Linked DNA regions of Canis lupus familiaris. The protein of the gene in region 1 interacts with the protein of each later gene in a pairwise test. Links are inferred from orthologs where the notes say so. Each region holds a gene or a part of one and is shown in the gene's direction. Other genes may lie near its edges. The genes, in order: IKBKG, TNFAIP3, TANK, EEF1A1 and EPAS1.

The links.
Region 2: the proteins of IKBKG (region 1) and TNFAIP3 interact in binary tests that used the Homo sapiens proteins (3 or more experiments, as listed by UniProt). The link is inferred for Canis lupus familiaris from reciprocal best matches to the Homo sapiens genes IKBKG and TNFAIP3.
Region 3: the proteins of IKBKG (region 1) and TANK interact in binary tests that used the Homo sapiens proteins (3 or more experiments, as listed by UniProt). The link is inferred for Canis lupus familiaris from reciprocal best matches to the Homo sapiens genes IKBKG and TANK.
Region 4: the proteins of IKBKG (region 1) and EEF1A1 interact in a two-hybrid assay, tested with the Homo sapiens proteins (2 studies listed by BioGRID and IntAct, with this or other methods). The link is inferred for Canis lupus familiaris from reciprocal best matches to the Homo sapiens genes IKBKG and EEF1A1.
Region 5: the proteins of IKBKG (region 1) and EPAS1 interact in a two-hybrid assay, tested with the Homo sapiens proteins (2 studies listed by BioGRID, with this or other methods). The link is inferred for Canis lupus familiaris from reciprocal best matches to the Homo sapiens genes IKBKG and EPAS1.

The regions. Positions count from the first base shown.
Region 1 is NC_049260.1:123,436,562-123,439,670, forward strand, and holds part of IKBKG (NF-kappa-B essential modulator), read left to right. Parts: intron 1-132; coding exon 133-276; intron 277-541; coding exon 542-684; intron 685-1,070; coding exon 1,071-1,132; intron 1,133-1,339; coding exon 1,340-1,482; 3' UTR 1,483-3,109. UniProt on the Homo sapiens protein: Regulatory subunit of the IKK core complex which phosphorylates inhibitors of NF-kappa-B thus leading to the dissociation of the inhibitor/NF-kappa-B complex and ultimately the degradation of the inhibitor.
Region 2 is NC_049222.1:30,482,841-30,487,818, forward strand, and holds the start of TNFAIP3 (tumor necrosis factor alpha-induced protein 3), read left to right. Parts: upstream 1-1,732; 5' UTR 1,733-1,868; intron 1,869-2,829; exon of another isoform or gene 2,830-4,978. UniProt on the Homo sapiens protein: Ubiquitin-editing enzyme that contains both ubiquitin ligase and deubiquitinase activities.
Region 3 is NC_049257.1:7,115,114-7,119,074, forward strand, and holds the end of TANK (TRAF family member-associated NF-kappa-B activator), read left to right. Parts: intron 1-2,202; coding exon 2,203-2,382; 3' UTR 2,383-3,039; downstream 3,040-3,961.
Region 4 is NC_049233.1:35,820,206-35,824,960, reverse strand, and holds the start of EEF1A1 (elongation factor 1-alpha 1), read left to right. Parts: upstream 1-1,681; intron 1,682-1,796; coding exon of another isoform or gene 1,797-1,905; intron 1,906-1,968; coding exon of another isoform or gene 1,969-2,069; intron 2,070-2,615; 5' UTR 2,616-2,649; coding exon 2,650-2,793; intron 2,794-3,056; coding exon 3,057-3,236; intron 3,237-3,350; coding exon 3,351-3,647; intron 3,648-3,748; coding exon 3,749-3,899; intron 3,900-3,985; coding exon 3,986-4,242; intron 4,243-4,320; coding exon 4,321-4,555; intron 4,556-4,665; coding exon 4,666-4,755. Other genes in the region: uncharacterized protein LOC119874198, read right to left, coding at 779-1,024, 1,351-1,681, 1,797-1,905, 1,969-2,069. UniProt on the Homo sapiens protein: Translation elongation factor that catalyzes the GTP-dependent binding of aminoacyl-tRNA (aa-tRNA) to the A-site of ribosomes during the elongation phase of protein synthesis.
Region 5 is NC_049231.1:49,679,973-49,684,188, forward strand, and holds part of EPAS1 (endothelial PAS domain-containing protein 1), read left to right. Parts: intron 1-453; coding exon 454-668; intron 669-2,195; coding exon 2,196-2,389; intron 2,390-2,874; coding exon 2,875-2,985; intron 2,986-4,216.

The DNA.
Region 1 (3,109 bases):
GGCCAGCCAGGGCCCATCTTTCATTGATTCCTTTTGGTTCTTCTCACCTGGAGCAGCAGCCGGCCTGGTGGCAGCCTGGTGCCTGCCACGGGCCAGTTTGGGCTCCTGCAGTTCCCCCTTGCCCGTTCCTAGGGAATGCAGCTGGAGGATCTCAAGCAGCAGCTCCAGCAGGCCGAGGAGGCCCTGGTGGCCAAACAGGAAGTGATCGACAAGCTGAAGGAAGAGGCCGAGCAGCACAAGATCGTGATGGAGACCGTCCCGGTGCTAAAGGCTCAGGTGAGGGCACTTCTCTGTGGCCCGTGTGCGGGTCAGCCGACTGGGCCTGCTGGGCCCTGGGCCCTGGTATGTATGTCCCTGGTGTCATTTTGCGGTGGCTTCACGGAAGCCCTTTGAGCCCCTTGCTCTTCCTTGATCTGTCTGCGCTTGGCGGTGACTCTCTGTGCCCCGGCTCTGGGAGGGTGGGAGCCGGCTGTCCCCGATCCCCCAGCAGGCAGTGAATGGCCCACAGCTGGCGGGCGTGCCCCTCTCTTGGCTTTGCCAGGCGGATATATACAAGGCCGACTTCCAGGCCGAGAGGCAGGCCCGGGAGAAGCTGGCTGAGAAGAAGGAGATCCTGCAGGATCAGCTGGAGCAGCTGCAGAGGGAGTACAGCAGGCTGAAGGCCAGCTGTCAGGAGTCGGCCAGGTGGGCCTCGGAGGGCCCGCCCCACGGGGGGTGGGACTGGGTGCGGGGGTCCCGGTGGTGACCGCGTGCGTGTGTCAGGTTAGGCTGAGCCGGCCCTCCCTCTCCGCTCTCCCTCTCCTGCCCTGTCCTGCCCCATCCTTCCGTTGGCTCCGTGCATACTTTTTTTTTTAAAAGATTTTATTTATTTATTCATAAGAGAGAGAGAGAGAGAGAGAGGCAGAAACACAGGCAGAGGGAGAAGCAGGCTCCATGCAGGGCGCCTGACATGGGACTCTGTCCCGGGACTCCAGGATCAGGCCCTGGGCCGAAGGCAGGCGCCCAACCGCTGAGCCACCCAGGGATCCCCTCCGTGCATACTTTTGATCTGACAGTTTCTCTTCTCAAAGGATTGAAGATCTGAGGAAGCGGCACGTGGAGGTCTCCCAGGCTCCCTTACCCGTCACCCCAGGTGAGTGAGCGGTCGGAGAAGGGATGGAGAGGGCAGGGTGCCAGAGAAGGGCCCATCTCGCCTCCCCAGAGTCACTGTCCCGAGTGCAGTCCCCTCCTGGGGACGGGGCGGGCTGAGAGGGAAGACGCAAGCGGCGGTGACCCCAGTGGCCGACCCGACAGGCCTAGCAAGTCTCAGTCCTCTCTGATGCTTCCTCTCTTTCTCCAGTTCACGCCTCCTTTCACGTGCCCGTGTCCATCCAGAGGAGAAGCCCCCCCGAGGAGCCACCGGACTTCTGCTGCCCCAAGTGCCAGTATCAGGCCCCTGATATGGACACCCTGCAGATACACGTCATGGAGTGCATCGAGTAGGGCTGCCTGCCAGTAAGCAGCACAGGACGGCCCGGTGCGAGCTCTCCTGCCGCACGGTCCAGAGTTACGGGCTAGGTGACACAGAACAGGCCACTTCTGTGCGCCCCACGAGCTAGCTCTAGGACCTTATGCTTCAGCTCCCCCATCTGCTGGTTTGCCTCTTTTAGGGCCCATGGAACCCCGGTTAGGCCTGATGCTCTGCTCCTTTTGCTCGTTCTGTCCGCTTGAACTGCTTGCCCTGGGGCTCCCTCTGTTTCCACGTCCACTGGGGAACTCAAGAATCAAGGCCAGGGCTCTCAGAGAACTTCTCAAGCCAAGACGGGCAGAAGCCTTGCCTCCCGCCCACGCTTCCACACACCGTGGCCCCAGCACCCTCGTGGGCCGCGTGGTATTCCATTTGGAGGCTGCACCGCCGGCCCATTTTACCAGTCAGCTTCAGATGAACACTTGGGCCCTCGCCACTCACTGTCACAAACGATGCTGCACTGAACATCCTTGGGCGTCACTTACGTGTCTCTTTGGGTCAGGGTCTTAGAAGCAGCACCGCTGAGCATCGAGCCCTGCCCACACGAGGGGTGCCCGGCCTGCGGGCTTTTGCCATTTGTCGGGCACGGCGCTCTCTATTGAGCCTGAGTGTGTTTGTGGAGCTTGAAGGACCTTTTCGAGTTCTGCTCTTAATGGCTCATTTGTACGTTTTGCCCATTTTTCTGTTGGGCTGTAAGTCTTTTGTTCCTCAGTGGGTTTGAGCTCTTTGGTCACTGGTGGGATGGGCTCTTGTGTATGATAGAAACTGCCACTGTCTTCTCTTCCTCTAACTTTGTGTGAGTGTGTTTTGGGCTTGAAGTTGGTCATCCTTGCGTGGCCACGTCTGTGCACCTTCCCTTCCCTGCTTTGGGTTTACCATTGTTGTGACGGGCTCATGGTTTGACAGGGAGGTGCTTCCACATGCGCACTTTTCCTTTCCTTTTCCGACCGACCACCACTGCGTGCTCTTGTCCTCCCAGAGAGTGTTGCTGCTCTGTGTGGTGGCTGCCTTTCATCACGTTGCAGAAGCTTGTGATGCTGCTCCCCACACCAGCCCCAAATGCCCCAGCCTTGTGAAGGGAAGCCACTTGGTGACAATTGGCAGGTTCTGAACGCTAGAGGGCCCCTTACTGTTGCTTTGCAAGATTTCTGGCTGTTTCCTCGGATGCCAAAGCCAAGGGCTGCCAAAGCCAAGGGCGTTAAGCCCGCAGTTGTCAGCAAAGGACATCAGAAGTGGAGGAAGAATGCCCTGGCCTCCCCTGGTTGGGAATGGGGTGTCGCCGAAGACAGCCTGGCCGGCAGCCCGTTCTGGAGACGAGACTGGCCCGGGGGGCGCCTGGCGTGTGCAGCAGCGGGAGCACCTTTTCCAGTTCCCGGAGCCCGGGTGTCTCCTCGCAGATGACTGAACTTTGGGAAAACGTTAAAGGCGCAGACAGGCTCCCCACTCCCGGGTGCTGTGTTTCAGTCCTGACCTGCAGTTTTCTGCATTAGCACTTCAGTTTCGGGGGATATATTTATTTCCCGTGGCCACTGTGACAAATGACCAGCTTGGCTTAGAACAACAAGAATTCATTCTCTCATGGTGCTAAAATCAGGGTGACAG
Region 2 (4,978 bases), on another chromosome or scaffold:
CAACAGCGTTTACCTTGGAGTAAACAGGCCCAGTTCCAATCACGGCTCTGCCACTGACCGACGGTGTAGACTTGGGGTAAATGGCTTAAGCTTCTTACACTTTAATTTCATAGCTTCAAAGTGGAGTTGTTTTGAGGCTTAAGTGGCAGAGTGCCTTTCAAACACTTAGCCTAGAGAGCGGCATATAGTAAGGACTTAATAAACATTATTATTATCATATTCCCTATGCGTTGTTTGAGAGTTGGTAGCTAAAAACATTTGTGAATGAACAGCTTATACCAGCAGGTATAAGAAGAAATGCCAGGAGGTTTGGAGTTGTCAAAAGTCCCAGCCATTGGTTTCAAATGGCCAGCACCAGCCTTGGAAGCTTGGCCACTTCTGACTCTCCGCTCTGAGTGTCTCTTTGCCAAAAATGTGCCACCTGGTCCTCATCCAGTCCTCCATCCAGTCTCTGCAGGTCCTTACTGGAGAGGAAAGCATATTTTTCTAATTCCAAAACTGGGATACGAGGCCCAACTAGTATAAGTAAGTCTAGAAGGGGACAATGCACAGAATATTTCAATCTGGTTCTAGTTTAGCTATTCTAAGAAATGCGCCAAGGGGGACTCTTAGCCAGTCAAAGTGCCTGCCTCTCCCTCTGCAATTCAGGCACCTCCACTGTCCAAGTGGCTGACACCTATTTCCACAGGACGTCCTTTGGGTAAAGACTGCGGGTTACCACACTATTTAATAAGGGGTGGGGGTCGTGGGTGGGTAAAATGTATTATCAGCCCTTGACACCTTGGCCTGAACTAATTGTCAGGTCATGAAAAAGAGCTCCTAATAGGGCCTTAGGGGGGCCACGCAAGGACAGTAATAATGGACTAGAAATGATTTCTAAACCGAAATGTTCCTGCGTGCCGAGCCCCCTGGGCACCTGGTGTGCAGGAAGGGAGAAAGGGAAATCAGTAAAGTGCAGAACAGGGCTGATAGTTGCTCTGATTCCCAACTTCACCTAAGATAGGTTTTGCTCCTGCAAATTTCAAGGCTGTGGGGCCTCAGGAGGTCACCCCCAACAGGCCGCCGTCTGGGCGGCAGAACGCTGGGATGGGGACGCACGGAGGGTTGTGAAATCCCCACCGGGGCCCAGAGTAGGGCGCTCCCCGACGAGCTCATCACGTGCACAGCCCTAGCTTTTCCAACCCAGCCCCGAAGGCTGCGGTCCCGGACGCCCGGGTGGTTTTTAGGGTTTTCTTTCTTTATTATTTCCCTTATTGTTCTCCACGGTTGGTGATTTTCTGCAGAAAAACGGCTGAGAAAAAAGAACCTATTTCATTTCCAGTTCCCATCACCGCGATTTCCACATGGATGTGACGTTGGGCCAGCTTCCGAAATGCCCAGGTGACTCACGCGGGGACACCCGGGGGCGGGGCTCAGGAGTTTCTCGCGCGGGGGGGCGGGGCGGGGCGGGGCGGGGCGGGGCGCCGCCGGCCTCCTGCGCCGCCCGCGCCCCCTGCGCCCCCTGCGCCCCCTGGCGGCCGGCGACCGCGGGGCTCGGCGCCGGCCCGGGCGTCACGTGACTGGAAAGTCCCCGGGTGGAAATCCCCGTTCTCCGCCGGCGGTAAAACAGAAAGGGAAAAAGAGAACTGGCAGTCTGCAGTCCTCGCAGCGGGCCGGTGCAGCGCGCTCGGAGCCCGCGGGGGCGGAGCGGTGACAGCAGCCGCCGGGACAAGTGCGGCGGCGGCGGCGGCGGCGGCGGCGGCGGGCGCGAGCCACACAGCCCCGCGGCGAGCGAGCGCCGAGCCCCGGCGTCCATGGGGCGCCTCCTCCGCGCGGCCCGGACCTGACCCGGACTTGGGACTCTGGAAGAGGATCGCGCGGCCGGACAGGTAACCGCCGCGTGCCCGTGCCTCTGCCAGCGGCGTCGCGGGGCCCGGGCTGCGCGGGTGCGTCACCGGCAGCTCCTCGCGGGCGGGAGCTTGTCGGCCCGGGCCCGGCCCGGAGCTCGTCGGCCGTCGGCGCTCACTGCGGGATGTGAAGTGCTGGGAGTCGAGGCGGCCGCGCACGACGCTGGGGTGACAGCTCGGGAGCCCTCCGGCCAGCTGTTCCTTGTAGATGCTGCCAGGAACGTAAGCTGCAGCAGGCGGCTGGAGAGGAGCCCCCGGACGGCCAGGTCGCGTGGTCCTCGGTGCTTTGCCCCTTTGCGTGCCTTTTTTATTTTTCGATCAAGCTCTGGATGCTCGCGGACACGGAGACCTTGCAGAGCCGACCCGCCGTGGCTTCTTCCCGGCGGGTGCAGAGCCAGGCCACCCGCCGGGCGGGGGGGGCGTGGGGGCCCGGGCCAGCCAGCCTGCCCTGGGTCGGCTTGCAGACCCCGCAGCCCAGTGCAGGGAGGCGGGTGGGCGGAGGGCCGGTGCTGAGCTGCTGCAGGCGCCGCAGTGCGCGAGGAGTGTGCATGCTCAAGCGGGACGTTGGCCGGCTTTTCGGGTGCTCCAGTGGACGGCGACCTGGAGGCCCCTGCCCCAGCCCCTACCCCACAGTCAGACGGTCGTTGTCAGCCCGGGTCGTCCCACATCCTGCCACCTGGCCTCTCAGGAAAGCAGTGGTATTAAGTAAGGAAGGAGCTCAGCGCTTTTGAGACCGCTTTGTTTTCAGTTCTCCCCGCCTCTGATCTTCTTTCCTTGGAAAGCTGGTCTGGTCAAGTGTCTCAGGGCAGCCTTTGGGGAGGACCGTGGTTCATCAGTCCCCTGGACCTTAGCACTAGTGTCTGCAGTTGTTACGCAGCCGGTTATAGCTCCATTCCCATCGTCTAAGGTGCTTCTTTGTTTTTTGTTTTTTTTTTTTCTCTTTTTAACAATTCTGTGTACAAGTTTTGGAGTTTAGGAGTGAGAGTTACCAAAAATTCGATGAGGCATTTATTGATTTAAAAAAAAAAAAAAAAAGTCAGTGAGGTGACAAATGTAAAAGAAATGGTAAGGGTGATAGCATATGTCTTTACCTGTAAGGACGTTACAGTTATAGGTCAGGAAAATTTATTCTTTCATCTTAAACGTGGAGAAGTCCGAGAACTGGGAACTTGGCTGGTGGGTTCTAATTCTTTTCAGGAGGCGATCGATTCCACAGTGTGTGCAAGGCTAAAACTATGAATGAGATGACCCAGGGCTATACAGTACTGACATTTGCATGTCTTACATATGGCAAAGAGCGCTTGTGCTATTTGAGGTCTTTGCTGAAAGATCTTTAAATTAGAAGAGATTAAGAGAAGATTCGGAAAACTCAAAAGGCAACACCTAGCTTGTTTCAAATCTTTTTGCTTCCGGCCTCTTCCCGTCTGGCAGCAGCAGGCACAGGGATGGTGTTGTGGGAACTGCAAGGGGCAGGTGTTGGAAGATCTGGCTTCCAGGCAAAGCTGTCTGCCTTGGGTGGTGTGGAACCTGAGCAGGACCCGTGCTTGTGTTGCCATGGCTGTGGACAGGGAATAAGGGCACCTGTGATTTTTAGTCCCAGCATCCAGCATGGCTCTCAGCAGGTGAGCAGGCAGTGCTTTTTAAGCAATGGACAGATGAATGAGTGATTGTGAGACTGGCCATGCCACAAAGTGGAAATGGGTGTAATGTTTTTATTGCTTCATTATGCTTGTGCCCTGCAATAATTTTGCCCAGTTCCACCTTCAGGGAACTGAAGGAAAGATTACCAACTGGCCCAGAGAATAACTTCTCCCAGGCCTCATTGACAATCAGATTTGGAATCCTGGTCCAAAACTATCACCAGAAAACTCCTCAGAAGCAACCTTGGGTCATCTACTTTAACCTCTCTATTTTGGACCACAAGTTTTAAATCACTTCATCAATGGCTTTAAGAGAGCCTAGACCCACCTAGGAATGGCTTCCCTAAAATCTAGGTTTCTTCTCACTCTTACACAGGTTTCAAGTCTTCCTCAACTAGAAGCTTGCCCTGGCAAATAGTATGGTGCAGGAGTGAGATTAGCAATCTCCATGAAACTTCCTAGGGAATGTCTTCATGCTCCAAAACCATCTTTGCCTTCATCTTGGAAACCAAGATGTATGTTGGGGCACCCTGCTAAGGCTTGTGGCTTTCCACACAGCTCCACACTGCAGAGATCCCACGTTGCATCAATTCACAACATCCTACGCTATTGGCATGGGTTGTAGATGCTGGGTTTTGCACCACCCCCCTCCCCCCGCTTCCTTCATTTATCATGAGCATCCCCCTGGCTGAAACATCTTTCCTTGCCCATTTCCAGACTTTTATTTCCTTCTACCAGCAGATTATGTTTCAGGATTCCAGGGTGAAGACAGGGTGGGAAATGCATTTGAGTGTTGGTACCTGGACAATGATAATAAATGTAGTTAAGTTGAAATAATTGAAATCTAATGCCTGCTCTCGGAAGTGTAAAATTTATTCTTGTATTATTATTATTATTATTATTATAATTCTATGTCCTATTCTGATGTTGTGAAGTTCAGTGGAGAGGTTCTGAAAGACTTTATCATTGACCGTTAAAATTGCAAAGCTTCTTACTGGAAATAGGCTTTTTCATTGGTTCTAAGATATTCAGTTTTAACTTTTATAAATATTATAATACATTTTTATAAATAAGCTCTTGATAAATATTTCTCTTCGGGGCTAAAGAGGAAACTCTAATCAGCAGCCTACGTGACAACATAAAATTGTGAGATTTTCCACAAAACATTTATTCTGCAGTGTAGGGTGGGAGGGCTTAAAAGAGATAAATTAAGGCTTTGCCTAAAAGCCAGGGCTGCTCAGCAGTGGTCTTAAGGGAGAAGCTAAGGACTTGTCAGGGCCACCTTGTGCCCGTCACTGGCATTCAGAGCTCCGAAGACCCAGTGGCTGTGTCAGAGTGGCATGCGAATGAGAGGGGAGCTTGTTGGTTATGAGGTGCAGTACCTGTTGCCGACGGATGGGCTTGGCTCCCTGACAGACGTTACTGAAAACACGGGTTATTCCCCTCCTCCTC
Region 3 (3,961 bases), on another chromosome or scaffold:
TTTGAAGGCCATGTTGCAGTTTAGGATTGAAAGAATATTTCTTAAAATTTTAAGAACATTTTGCCATTTTATTTGTATTAATAAAACTAGTATGATAAATACAAAATTCTTGAATTGTTGATAATGACAAAGAAGTGAAAAATTTGGGTTACATATTTCAGATTTTTATTTTATATCAATCACTACTTCTTAATACCTTTTTATACATTCAGCTATCATAACAAAGCCTAAAATATATCTGCTTATTTTTACTGTATGTGATTTTCTTTTCTTCCTACTTTTGCTGAGTCAGTGAGTGGGGTCCCAACTGAATTCTATGAAAAGATCAAATCTGAACCAGTAACTCCTAATAGAGAAGGATAAACATGGACTTTGAAGATAAATTGGCAGTAGAAGGTTGGCTTACCAAATTTAGAAGCTAAATTGCTTCTAAGCTTATTTCTTCCTATTTTATAGATCTTAATAAGAATTACCTTTAACGGAACAATCTTTTATTTATATCCATATCAGTTTCCCATGAAAGTGATCATCTTAATCACTTGTACTTCTTGTTTAAACTGAAAACAGTAAAATTTAAATCTGGTTAACTCTAACTTATTTTTGCTTATTTCTCACAGTTATCACTGCTTTTAATCCTATTTTCTAAAGAAAATTATCTTACCCCAAACTTTAAAATATTTTAAATATTACTGTTTTTGTGATAAAATTGTCACTTCTTAAAAAGGGAATTGAGTCAGTGTTATTAGAAGCCTCTGTTCTGCTATTTGAATATATCTCGGTGCCTAGCAGACTTTGTATATTTACACCAACTGTACACAGCTGTCCGGTAAAATGTTTTTAAGAAGACAGTGATGTTTTGAAACTCAATTGCTTCAATTAGTAATACACTTGTTTATTGTAAATGATTGGTTAACTAGAATGGGAGATTGGTTAAGGGAATGAAAACTAACACTGTATCAGGTGTTGAACTAGGCTGTTACTTTAAAAACACATTAGTCATAGGAGGCCAAAGGGGTCTCTTTATTTAAATTGAGTTTTTGAGGTAATTCTCCTCAAAGTATCAGAAATTAGCTGTGTGAAGGTAATTTACTTTGTGTCAAGGTATACAAGAAAGTGAATTTTTTTTAAAAGATTTTATTTATTTATTTATGAGAGACACAGAGAGAGAGGCAGAGACACAGGCAGAGAGGCAGGCTCCTCACAGGGAGCCCGATGCGGGACTCGATCCCGGGACTCCAGGACCATGCCCTGGGCGGAAGGCAGGCACTAAACTGCTGTGAGCCATCCACGGATCCCCGTGAATTTTTTAAATAATTTGGTTTATAATATTCAGGAAAATAAGACCGTCAACAAGCATTTATTGAGCACCTACTATTGAACTAAATGCTTTTTCTTGCCCTACTAGATTTTTTAGAATAAATGCAGTATTTCCAGAGTATTTATGTGTTGCTTATAATGGAGATAGTCCCTTTGAATTTTTCATACTTCTTTAATTAGGCAGCTATTGACAAGTCTCACTGTATTCAGTCACAAGAAAGAGTAAAGAAGGCAAAACTATGCAGTATATATAGCAAGAGCAAAATAAGTCAAAAGAATGCATCTTATGTTAGATTTGTTGAATGATTAAAATTTTGAGGTTTCAAAAAACAACTGATCAGTGGAATTTTAGTACTTTAAAAATTCTTTCACCAAAACCACACTATTCCTATATGTTTTATTCATTGTGTATTTGCTTATAAGTAGCGAAATTTAAATGGCTCTTGATCAGAATGCATGTTTACACACATCATGTCTAGTGTACTGTGTATTAATAAGAGCCCTATAACTTAAGGTTTCTGTTGGAAAATAGTAAAGAGAAATTTTAATTTTTAAAAGGTCTTATTGACTGTTCCAAAAACTACTGCCATTATGATAACAGACATTAAAATTTGCTGATGGTAAAACTGGAAAATCTTTGACTAGATGAAGATAAAGCGCATGTATGTGTTTTCAGTGACTCTTAATCAAAGTTCAGCTGTGCCCTTAATGAACCGAGACCAGAGTCCTGTCTTCATGCTAATGCTATGGAAAGGTACTTTGCTTTCCTGTGAGGGAATTTTGTGTTTATGCGCATACCCCGTGCAGAAAACCCCGCATTTGAAATTCACTGTAAGTTGATTGTAAGTACAAATAACAGAAGATGTTTTTGTTTGTTTCCTGCAGCCCATTTGGAAGCCCTTTCCTAATCAAGACAGTGACTTATCTTCGGTCCTGGGTGGCAGGGACTCAGAGCTGCCTATCCCTCGGGTCTGTGAATTCTGTCAAGCTGTTTTCCCACCATCCATTACATCCAGGGGGGATTTCCTGCGGCACCTGAACTCCCACTTTAATGGGGAGACTTAAGATGCACTTGAAGACAGTCCTGTGGGATGAGTCTATGTGATCATCCAGGTCTGGGTGATGGTCTTGGGTTTGTAATACTATAGATACTTGATTGCAAACTTAGTTCAAGATCATTTAGTGAATAATAGCTATGAATTTTTTTTCTAACCTTACATTGTAACTTTCTTCTCTTTTAAAAGATCATTCTGTACAAAGCTGTAGTTCATTGTATTCATGTTTACAGTGTTTATTGCCTTAATTTATGTTTGTTTCAAACATCTAAGCTTATTGCTTGGATTTCTAGTTAGATCTGTTGAATTTGGTGATGTCAAATGTTTATGGGGTTTTTCACCTAAAATTAGATTATTTATGCTATAGGCGATTTTATTTTTTTTTAAGTAAACCTGTAATACAGAACAGCAGACAACATAAATGCCTAGGTAAATGCCAAACCTAAGACATTTGTTGCCCAGGGATAAAATCACTGGTTAGAATTATTTAAATACTTTAGATTGTTTTGTTAAATAATATACATGGTTTTAAATTTTGCTATGTATATAGCTACATGATGAAAATTAGTTAAATATTTAAAAAGTTACTTATGTTGTGATCTTTACATGTGTTCTTTGTTCTTGAGTGAAAAAAATAAAGAAATAAATTACATTTGGGGGAAGTTTATAACATTCATGTTTTCTAATGGTAGAAGGGTGATATCAGATCTGGTGACATTTAATTACGAGTAGTAGATCACTTTGAATTTAGTAATTATTTTTCAAACTAAACTTGCTAAAGAAACACTTGTATTTCCAGGGAGCAAATTTAAAAAGCCCTATAAGGAGTATCCACATTTATTGATTGATTTATAAGTATTTACATTGTTGTTCAGAAATGTGTGGTTCATTGTCAGCAGCCTGATGGCCACTGGAAGACGTTTGAGAGAGAGGATACCAAATCCGACGGCTGCAAAATATTTCTTAAAATAAGGTGTCTCTTTCATTTTTCTTCCCTGTGGTGCTTGTTTTTCAGGTTTCCCTTTGCCTCCGATTTTTAAAACTCTTTGAGGCATGGCTTCCATTTTATAAAGTGCACATTGATTTGCAGCTTTCAAAACAGGAATTTAAGCCTTCTTTGGAGGAAATGTTTTTAAAAATTGGAGGATTTTAGGATGGGGGAATTTGAGAGGCCCCTGTGCCCCAGTAAAAAGCCTTAACTCGTGGAAGAATGAAAATGGTGCCTCGACTTCTCAGGGTGCCAAGCACATCACATTGACATCTTCTTCACCAAGGTGACATAGCGATTATTAGGTATTCACTGTGAAGGGTTCTGAGACGCGCGGACTTCTCTCCTCCGTTGCCGCTGGGGCTGAATGGAAATACCTAGAGGATTCTCCGAGCCTCGCCCCACCTCGCACCCACAGCCTCCCTCTCACTCCACGCACACGCACACACGGGATTAAAAATAAAAACTTCTCCGCCTGTGCCACCCAGAATATGCCACTGTACCTATCTCGTGAACGGGGATTCGTTTTCCTTGTCCTTTTCTAGAAGAGAGAGAGCCCCTCTCACACAGTTGACATCTACTAGCCTGCTGCCAACCCAAG
Region 4 (4,755 bases), on another chromosome or scaffold:
AGAAGACTTATTTCATTTACAAAGTAAAAAAGGGATTTGGGGTTGTGAGAAGTAACTGAAAACTAGGACTAGAACTATATTCTACAATGAAATAAAAAGTAAGCACCATACAAGTTTGCCTTTAACTGCTTCCCAGTTGTTTTATATATTAGTTTTCCCCTTCCAATTTGATCGTGGGTTCCTCTCCAAAGGAGAATTTATTTTGCACATGCCACAGAACTCGCTTAGCACTGGACACATAGTAGGTTTCAAGCATTTGTTAACAGATTGGCTGGAGGAGTTGCAGTGATGTTCCACACATGGAAGAGACATACTGATATAGTAACTAGCTCATTAAAAATAAAAGTTCCTTCTTGAAAGTATTTCTCAGTCTGCCCTGATTGCCAACCAAAAAGGCCTCATCCGGTTTCGCCCTAAATTTATGCTCAAATGGAGTTAAAATCCATTTAACAGAAAATGAACTAATTTATTTAAATGGGCTAGGCCACCTTTAAGAAGCAGTGATTCGCAGCAAGTGTTGGGGATAGGAAATTGGGTGGATAAGCTTGCTGAAGCCGTAGATCTTAGTTTCTACTTGAGATCATGCGGAAAGACTGAATTTGAAAAATTCTTTTTAGGTTGCTCATGCTAGCAATCAAATGAGTGTACACTGTAGAAAAAATGTACCACGAGAGTAGACACACATAGGGTCTTTCTATAACGTAATGAAACTAGAGTTAAAAGGCAGACTGTGGGATTGAAATCTATTCTGAACTGAAGAACTAGACGTCTGGAGTACCATATGGGGTGAACGTGTGACTCGGGCTTCGGTAAAAGCAGCGGGCTCGGACTGGAACAAGCCAAAAGGCTAGCCCAAGAGCACATTCGTCCGGGTCACGGCCACCGAGTTGAAACCCTTGCGGATTCTCCGGCTGTGAAGGCGGCCCCTCGGGTCCCTCGCTGCCCTGGGAGCCCGGGCCTTGTACTCTCCAGCCCCGAGAGGAAGAGAAGGCAGGGGCGAGGGAGGAGCCAGCCCAGGGCGGACCTGCGACGAGCGGAGGAAGCGGCTCAAAGGGGCAGTCCTGGACCTTGGAGAGGACCAGGTTAAGAACTGGAGGTATACTGCGGAGGGAAGGCGTACTCCAATCGCCACACCATCTTTGCAGTTAAACCAGGAACCGTAGAGGGCAGATTCAGTACTTCCCCGCAGGGCCGCCTCCTCGCCCCCCCGCCCGCCCCTTCAGCTGGAGCTGAGAGTAATTCATACAAAGGAGGACTCGCTTCAGCCTCGGGGAATCCCAGGGACCGTCGTTAAACTCTCACTAACATAGAACGAGCGGAAAGCTCGTCCCCGCCTCCCCACCCACTCACTCTCGCCGTCATCGGGGTCAAGAGGAGCATGCGCGAGGAGATGTGCGCTCTTTAGTGGGCTGAGCGCACATCGCCCACGGTCCCCGAGCAGTAGGGGGAGGGGATGGCGACCGAACCGGTGCCTGATGGAGTTGGCGCGGGGTAAACTGGGAAAGTGGTGTCGTGTGCTGGCTCCGCCCTCTTCCCCGAGGGTGGGGGAGGACCGTATATAAGTGCCGTAGCCGCCTTGAACGTTCTTTTTCGCAACGGGTTTGCCGCCAGAACACAGGTGAGTGCCGGGTGTGGCTCCCGCGGGCCTGGCCTCTTTGAGCTGCCAGCGGCCCTCGCGTGCCTTTTACAACGGCCGCGCCACCGAGCCACTTTACGATGTTCTTGACCCCGAATTTCGGATTGTGAGTGGGTGGGAAGGTTCCAGGCCTTGCGCCTTTTTTTAGGACCCCTTTTGCCTCGTGGTTGGTTTGAGGCCTGGCTTGGGTGTTGTGGCGGCCGCGTGCGAATTCCGCCGCACCTTCTTGCCTGCCCTCGTACAGTGGTTTAAGCCTCCAGACGTTTGACCTACCAAAAGAAGGCCGCTATGGTTTTCTCCGTCGAGATGGTTGAGCGGAGGTTGGTCAGGACTTGAACGGGGTGGGCTTTTCCGCGGTCGTCGCGTTCTTGGGGTGTGGGGCCGCCGCGAGGCGCGGAGGGCGGCGACGAGGCCCGCTCGTCCCGGCGCACATGTCCGACGAGGCGGGGAAGGCCCACGAGCCGTGGGCGCCGCGTCGGACGCGGGAGAGTCCCGTGGAGTGGGCCGGGCGGCTCTGGTGCCGGGCCTCGCGCCGCGATGTACCGTCCTACGCCGGGCGGAGAGGCCGGCCCGCTCGGCACCAGTTGCGTGCGCGGAAAGATGGCCGCTCTCCGGCCCTGCTGCAGGCAGCTCAAAATGGAGGACGCGGCGGCCCGGGAGAGCGGGCGGGTGAGTCACCCACACAAAGGAAAAGGGCCTTTCCCTGTTAGGCCGCTGCTTCCTGTGACCCTACGGTGTACCGAACGCCGTCTTGGCACCTCCATTCCGCCTCAACGCCTTACAAGCAGGCCTTCCCCGGAGGGGGGAGGGGATTTTATGCGGTGGAGTTAACCCCACGCTTGGTGGGTGGAGACGAGAGTTGGGCCAGCTTGGCCCTGGTTGTAATTCTTGGAATTTGGTCTCTGCGAGTTTGGTCGTGGCTTATTTTCAAGCCTCCGGGACAGTAGTTAAAAGGGTTTGTTCCTACCCTAAAATTTAGGTGTCGTGAAAACCACCGCTAAACCTAAACCAAAATGGGAAAGGAGAAGACTCACATCAACATCGTCGTCATTGGACACGTAGATTCGGGCAAGTCTACCACTACTGGCCATCTGATCTACAAATGTGGTGGGATCGACAAAAGAACTATCGAAAAATTTGAGAAGGAGGCTGCTGAGGTTGGTATACTAACTTAATGAGAGATCGTTAAAAAAAAGTCGGCCAGTGTCAACTTCCCCAAAACTAGTTACTAGTCTATCAGAATCTGCTGCTTGTGGTAGATTGTTTGTGCTTGCTGAAGAGTTTTTTATCTATGTAACTTTGGGAGATAGAACTACCTAACTGTAAAGTGGAATCCGCATTTCTGCTTAAGCAGGAGTTAGGGATTTCAAGTTGGAAGTTTGTGTTTAAGTTACCAAGTAACCATTCTTAATCCTTACAGATGGGAAAAGGCTCCTTCAAGTATGCCTGGGTCTTGGATAAACTGAAAGCTGAACGTGAACGTGGTATCACCATTGATATCTCCCTGTGGAAATTCGAGACCAGCAAGTATTACGTGACCATCATTGATGCCCCAGGACACAGAGACTTTATCAAAAACATGATTACAGGCACATCTCAGGTTTGTAGGATTACTTGAAAATAACTGTAGGCTTGGGTTTTGTATGGGAAAAAAGGGGGAGTTCATCTTTTTGAGGAACATTTATTTAACAGGATGTCTTTTTGTCTTTTAAAGGCTGACTGTGCTGTCCTGATTGTTGCTGCTGGTGTTGGTGAATTTGAAGCAGGTATCTCCAAGAATGGGCAGACCCGTGAGCATGCCCTTCTGGCTTACACACTGGGTGTAAAACAACTAATTGTTGGTGTTAACAAAATGGATTCCACTGAACCACCCTACAGCCAGAAGAGATACGAGGAAATCGTTAAAGAAGTCAGCACCTACATTAAGAAAATTGGCTACAACCCCGACACAGTAGCATTTGTGCCAATTTCTGGTTGGAATGGTGACAACATGCTGGAGCCAAGTGCTAACGTAAGTGACTTCAAGGCTTTGAGGAAGTGATAGAAGAGGCATATGTTGACACTAAATGACAACAGTTTGGGGAATGCTAATGGACAATCTTGTTTTTTTAGATGCCTTGGTTCAAGGGATGGAAAGTCACCCGTAAAGATGGGAATGCCAGCGGAACCACACTGCTTGAAGCCCTGGATTGCATTCTGCCACCAACTCGTCCAACTGATAAGCCCTTGCGTCTGCCTCTCCAAGACGTCTACAAAATTGGTGGTAAGTTGAACATTGCCATTTAAAAATACGATTTATGGATTGTTCTTCACAGAAGGTATCTGACACGATGCTTCTAAATATTTTAGGTATTGGTACTGTCCCAGTGGGTCGAGTGGAGACTGGTGTTCTTAAGCCTGGTATGGTGGTCACCTTTGCTCCAGTCAATGTTACAACTGAAGTAAAGTCTGTTGAAATGCACCATGAAGCTTTGAGTGAGGCTCTTCCTGGGGACAATGTGGGCTTCAATGTCAAGAACGTATCTGTCAAAGATGTTCGTCGTGGCAATGTGGCTGGTGACAGCAAAAATGACCCACCAATGGAAGCAGCTGGCTTCACAGCTCAGGTAACACACTTAAGAGTGGCAATGTTCTCTTTGCTAGATCCTGTTTGAAATGTATTAAATGCAATTTTTTCCTCCAAGGTGATTATCCTGAACCATCCAGGCCAAATCAGTGCTGGATATGCACCTGTGCTGGATTGTCACACAGCTCACATTGCCTGCAAGTTTGCTGAGCTGAAGGAAAAGATAGATCGTCGTTCTGGAAAGAAGCTGGAAGATGGTCCCAAGTTCTTGAAATCTGGGGATGCTGCCATTGTTGATATGGTTCCTGGCAAACCTATGTGTGTTGAGAGCTTCTCTGACTATCCTCCTCTGGGTAAGAATGATTTAAGCATAATTAGAAAACTTACTGAAGCACTAGGACGTGCTATTTGTGTATAGTTTCTGATACAGTTTCTGATAGTGATCTAAAATTTGTTTTAATAGGCCGTTTTGCTGTTCGTGACATGAGACAGACGGTTGCTGTGGGTGTCATCAAAGCAGTGGACAAGAAGGCAGCTGGAGCTGGCAAAGTCA
Region 5 (4,216 bases), on another chromosome or scaffold:
TGTCATCTGTGTCATGGCTCTGACCCACATGGGGAGGCAGACAGCATAATTGTCATTTAATAAAATGAGGAATAAGGAAAGTGATAGTGCTCCAGCTTTCCAGGAGAGATGTAACAGCTCCATGGTGCCTGGGGAGAAAGTTGGAGCTGGTCACTGCTAGTGTTAAACAAAAACAGAAACCATCACACCCGTGTGTACAGTGCAGCCCCCACACAGTAATAAGACAGCGTCCAAGACGCATCCATATCCAGAGGGCGCTCCCCAGGTTGCTGCCTCCATGACCCCAAAGTTTGCCGTGTGGTTCCTTACAAATGCTAGCAGGCGTCTGGACCCATGTTTTTTTGGCTGAAAGGGTTAGCTGTCCGGTTGTCCATGTGTTGGGGGGGGGGTGGGGGGCGTAAAAGGATTTTGCTAGAAAACGTGGGTGGTCTGAAGCACCTCTCGTCCCACCAGTGAGATTGAGAAGAACGACGTGGTGTTCTCCATGGACCAGACGGAATCACTGTTCAAGCCCCACCTGATGGCCATGACCAGCCTCTTCGACAGCAGTGGCGAGGTGGCGGTATCCGACAAGAGTGACTACCTGTTCACCAAGCTGAAGGAGGAGCCCGAGGAGCTGGCCCAGCTGGCCCCCACTGCAGGAGATGCCATCATTTCTCTGGATTTCGGTGGGTGCTTCTTAGCTGAACAGGGGCCTGCTGAACCCTCTCGTGGGGTGCAGGTGGGGGTGGGGAGGAAGTTCTTACTGGAACAGGCCTCCCTGGCTTCAGTTCTTCCTTAACCCCTGCCCCTTCCATGGTCTGGTGGCCAGACTGTGCTGAGCACAAGAGCGACACATGGTGCGGAGTAAGATGGTCCTGCTGCTGACTTTGCAAGGTCCTGAGCAGGGGGTGGGGTTGTGGGGGACTCTCTTCTTTATTTATTTTTATTTTTTTTATTTTAAAGATTTTTATTTATTTACTCATGAGAGACACACACACAGAGAGAGAGAGGCAGAGACACAGGCAGAGGGAGAAGCAGGTTCCATGCAGGGAGCCCAATGTGGGACTCGATCCAGGGACCCCAGGATCATGCCCTGGGCTGAAGGTGGCACTAAACCGCTGAGCCACCAGGGCTGCCCGGGGGCCTCTCTTCTGAGGAGTCACTGGTTCTCCAACACGGGCAGTGAGGGCCTGAGATGAGGGAGGCCGCTGGCCTGTTTTCACAGTGAGGGCCAATCCCCATCCCCTGGGGACAGATTGCTCGTTTAGGGAGAGGGGCAGGCTGAAATAATAGAAATAGTTCCAGAAATATGGCTGGAGGAAAGATTCTGGCCCAGGATGATGCCCTCATATGCACTATTTCTTTAAAATGCTGGCCTGTCCATAGGGCCGTTGGGTGGCTCAGTAGGTAAAGTATCTGACACTCGATTTCAGCTCAGGTCATGATCTCAGGGTTGTGAGACTGAACCCTGTGTCAGGCTCCCCACTGAGCGTGGAATCTGCTGGAAGATTCTCTCTCCCCTCTCCCTCTGCCCTTCCCCCTAACCCTGTGCATGTGCTCTAAAAAAAAAAAAAAAAAAAGAAAGAAATGTTGTTCTGTCCAGTGGAGATTTGTGTCCTGTGGCCCCAGGCAGAGTTTCAGCCCATTCCCCGCCCATGCTGGAAGCACCTTCCATGTGTCCCTGTTCCCAGGTTGTGAGCCCCCTCACCCTCACCAGCCTGGCCCAGGGCCAGCAGCACCTCCCTGTGCTCATCCCAGAGTGGCTTGTGCCCTCTGGAAGTGCTCTGCAGAGGCCAGCTGGGGATTGCAACTTCAGAAACTATAAAGGGCAGCGGCCCCAGGACGAGGAGTTTTGTGGCTTCCCAGTTTTGTGGCAGTACTGAGGCAAATTGCCCTGTTTTCCTCTTACAACCCCCTCCTCGTGGACATTGCTGACTACCTGTCGAGGAAGTAGGTCCCAGTACCTGTAGTCCCTGACAATGAAATCCTCCAGGAGGGTGCTCCCTTCAAAGGGAGATAGTTCATTGCCTCACAGTCCCTGGTAGGGGCTCGTTGCTGCGGCCCAACCTCGGAGGCTGAGGACCTAGCCCCAGGCCTGCTTTCAGACCCTCCTAGGGCCTTCTGAGCACCCTCTGGGCTCTCTGCCCAGGGGTAAGCCCAGTGGCCAGTCCAGTGGCCGTGGGTGTTAACCAGCCAGGCCCTTGTCTCTGCAGGGAGCCAGAGCTTCGAGGAGTCCTCATCCTACAACAGCGCCCTCCTGCCCCCAAGCCAGCCGTGGCCCAGAGAGCTGAGGAGCCACAGCACCCAGAGCGAGGACGGGAGCCTGCCCGCCTTCACTGTGCCCCAAGCGGCGGCCTCCGGGAGCGCCACCCCAAGTGCCACCAGCAGCAGCAGCAGCTGCTCCACGGTGAGCACCCTGCCTTGGGGTGAGGACATGGAAAGGGTGGGCTGTTCCTTTTAACTGCTGCAGGATGGCCGAGTAGACAGCCCAAACAGGAATATGCCCGCATGCCCCTCCAGTGAGCCCAGAACCCCGTAGAGTGGTGGGGACGGATGCTTACCTGCCTGCTGCCCCAGCCTTTGCCGTTACTGTCTGCACCCCCATCTACGCCCTAAGTTCCTTGGAGATGGGGGCCGAGTTGCACACAGCTTTGAGCCTGTAGCTCGGTCCCAGTGCGGGACAGTCACCGTCCTGCTCCAGGCAGATAGCTGTATGGTCTCCAGAGCCCCGCCGGCCACAGCCCTACTTGTCAGCAGGGGTCCCTCTACACATACTTGTTCCATGGAATGGAGCTGAGTCTGTGAGTCTAGACACATACTTCTTTCACCTGGGACTTCTGGGGAGACCAGCACCCTACTCTTGACTTGGTGTCTCTCCTTCCTGGCCCCCAGCCCAGCAGCCCCGGAGACTACTACACATCTCTAAATGATGATCTGAAGATTGAGGTGATCGAGAAGCTCTTCACCATGGACACAGAGGCAAAGGACCAGGGCAGCACTCAGGTAGATGGGCTACACCTGCCCACTGGCAGGAGGGGAGACGAAGGCTCACAGCCATTCTGGCAGCCCCGTCCCTTTGTCCTCGGTCGCAGAGACCAGTGGGGGCATGTGGCCAAGGCCCTGGTCATAAAGGGGAAGTGGGGCCTGCAGTAGTCCCCTTCTCCTACCTTTGCCCTCTGCTTTGCTCACCAAATCCACCTTGGGAGCTCTTTACCGAGGCTGAGTTTTTGTGCACCGAGAAAGCCACAGAACCTTTCTTAAAGAAGCCCTGTGTTTAAAGAGCATGTCCAGATTTGTGAGGTGTTCATAAACAATAAGGAACAGTAACTCTCCTCACACACACCTTCATCTTAGGATTCTGAAATAACTTTTAATGCATTTTAAAATGGCATCTAGCAGAGATTTTCATTTACACACAACTTTTCAGGAATGCACAGAGGTGGGGGTTCTTAAAAATGATAAGAACAGGGATGAGATGGGTGCGTGTTTCACAGTGCCCCAAGGACAAGTGTTCAGCCCCCTTCGTCTCAGGCCCAGTTGTTCTAACAAGTCCCCCTGCTGCGCAGCTGGTCTCTTTGGCCTGCCTGGCGCAAGCTCTCGCAATTCGGCAAAACTTCCCTGCTTGAGCCCTTCCTGCTCTGTCCTCTGAACTCCCGAGGGGTTGCTCAGTACTTGATGCCATCTGCTTCCGCTCCTGCGCTGTGCCATACAGGGAGTCATCATCACTAAGCTGCACACCCTACCCCCCAACAGCGAGGGTATCATTTTCTGCATGGGCTTTTGGGTACGTCCTGTTGTGTACATCAGGGTCCTATAGGACCCATCAGTACTGTGCCCAGTACTTAAGCATGTTACCTAAGTACTTGCCGAGTGAAAGTCTCTCTGCCAGTAGGGCAGCTGTTACTGTACAAGCAGGCCATGGACGGACCCTGGGTGCTCGTCCTGTGCTCAGGCCTGTGGCAGGATAGATGAGGGAGATGAGGACAGAGCTGTCCCTGGCTCCTGGCGTGTGCACCACGGGCCGCAGGGGAGAAGGAGGGGTCTGGACAGGCAGACGGGAGACAGGAGGGCGTTTCAGGTTGGGTGAGGTGGTGCCACCAGTGTGGAACGTGCAGGGACAGCTGCGTGGAGCATGGAGGTTCAGGACACAGACTGAAGAGGGCATGAACCCATGGAAAGGCTAACATCGCATGCCAGGAGCCCTGCACACCGGGTAGACGAGTCTGAGTTTTCT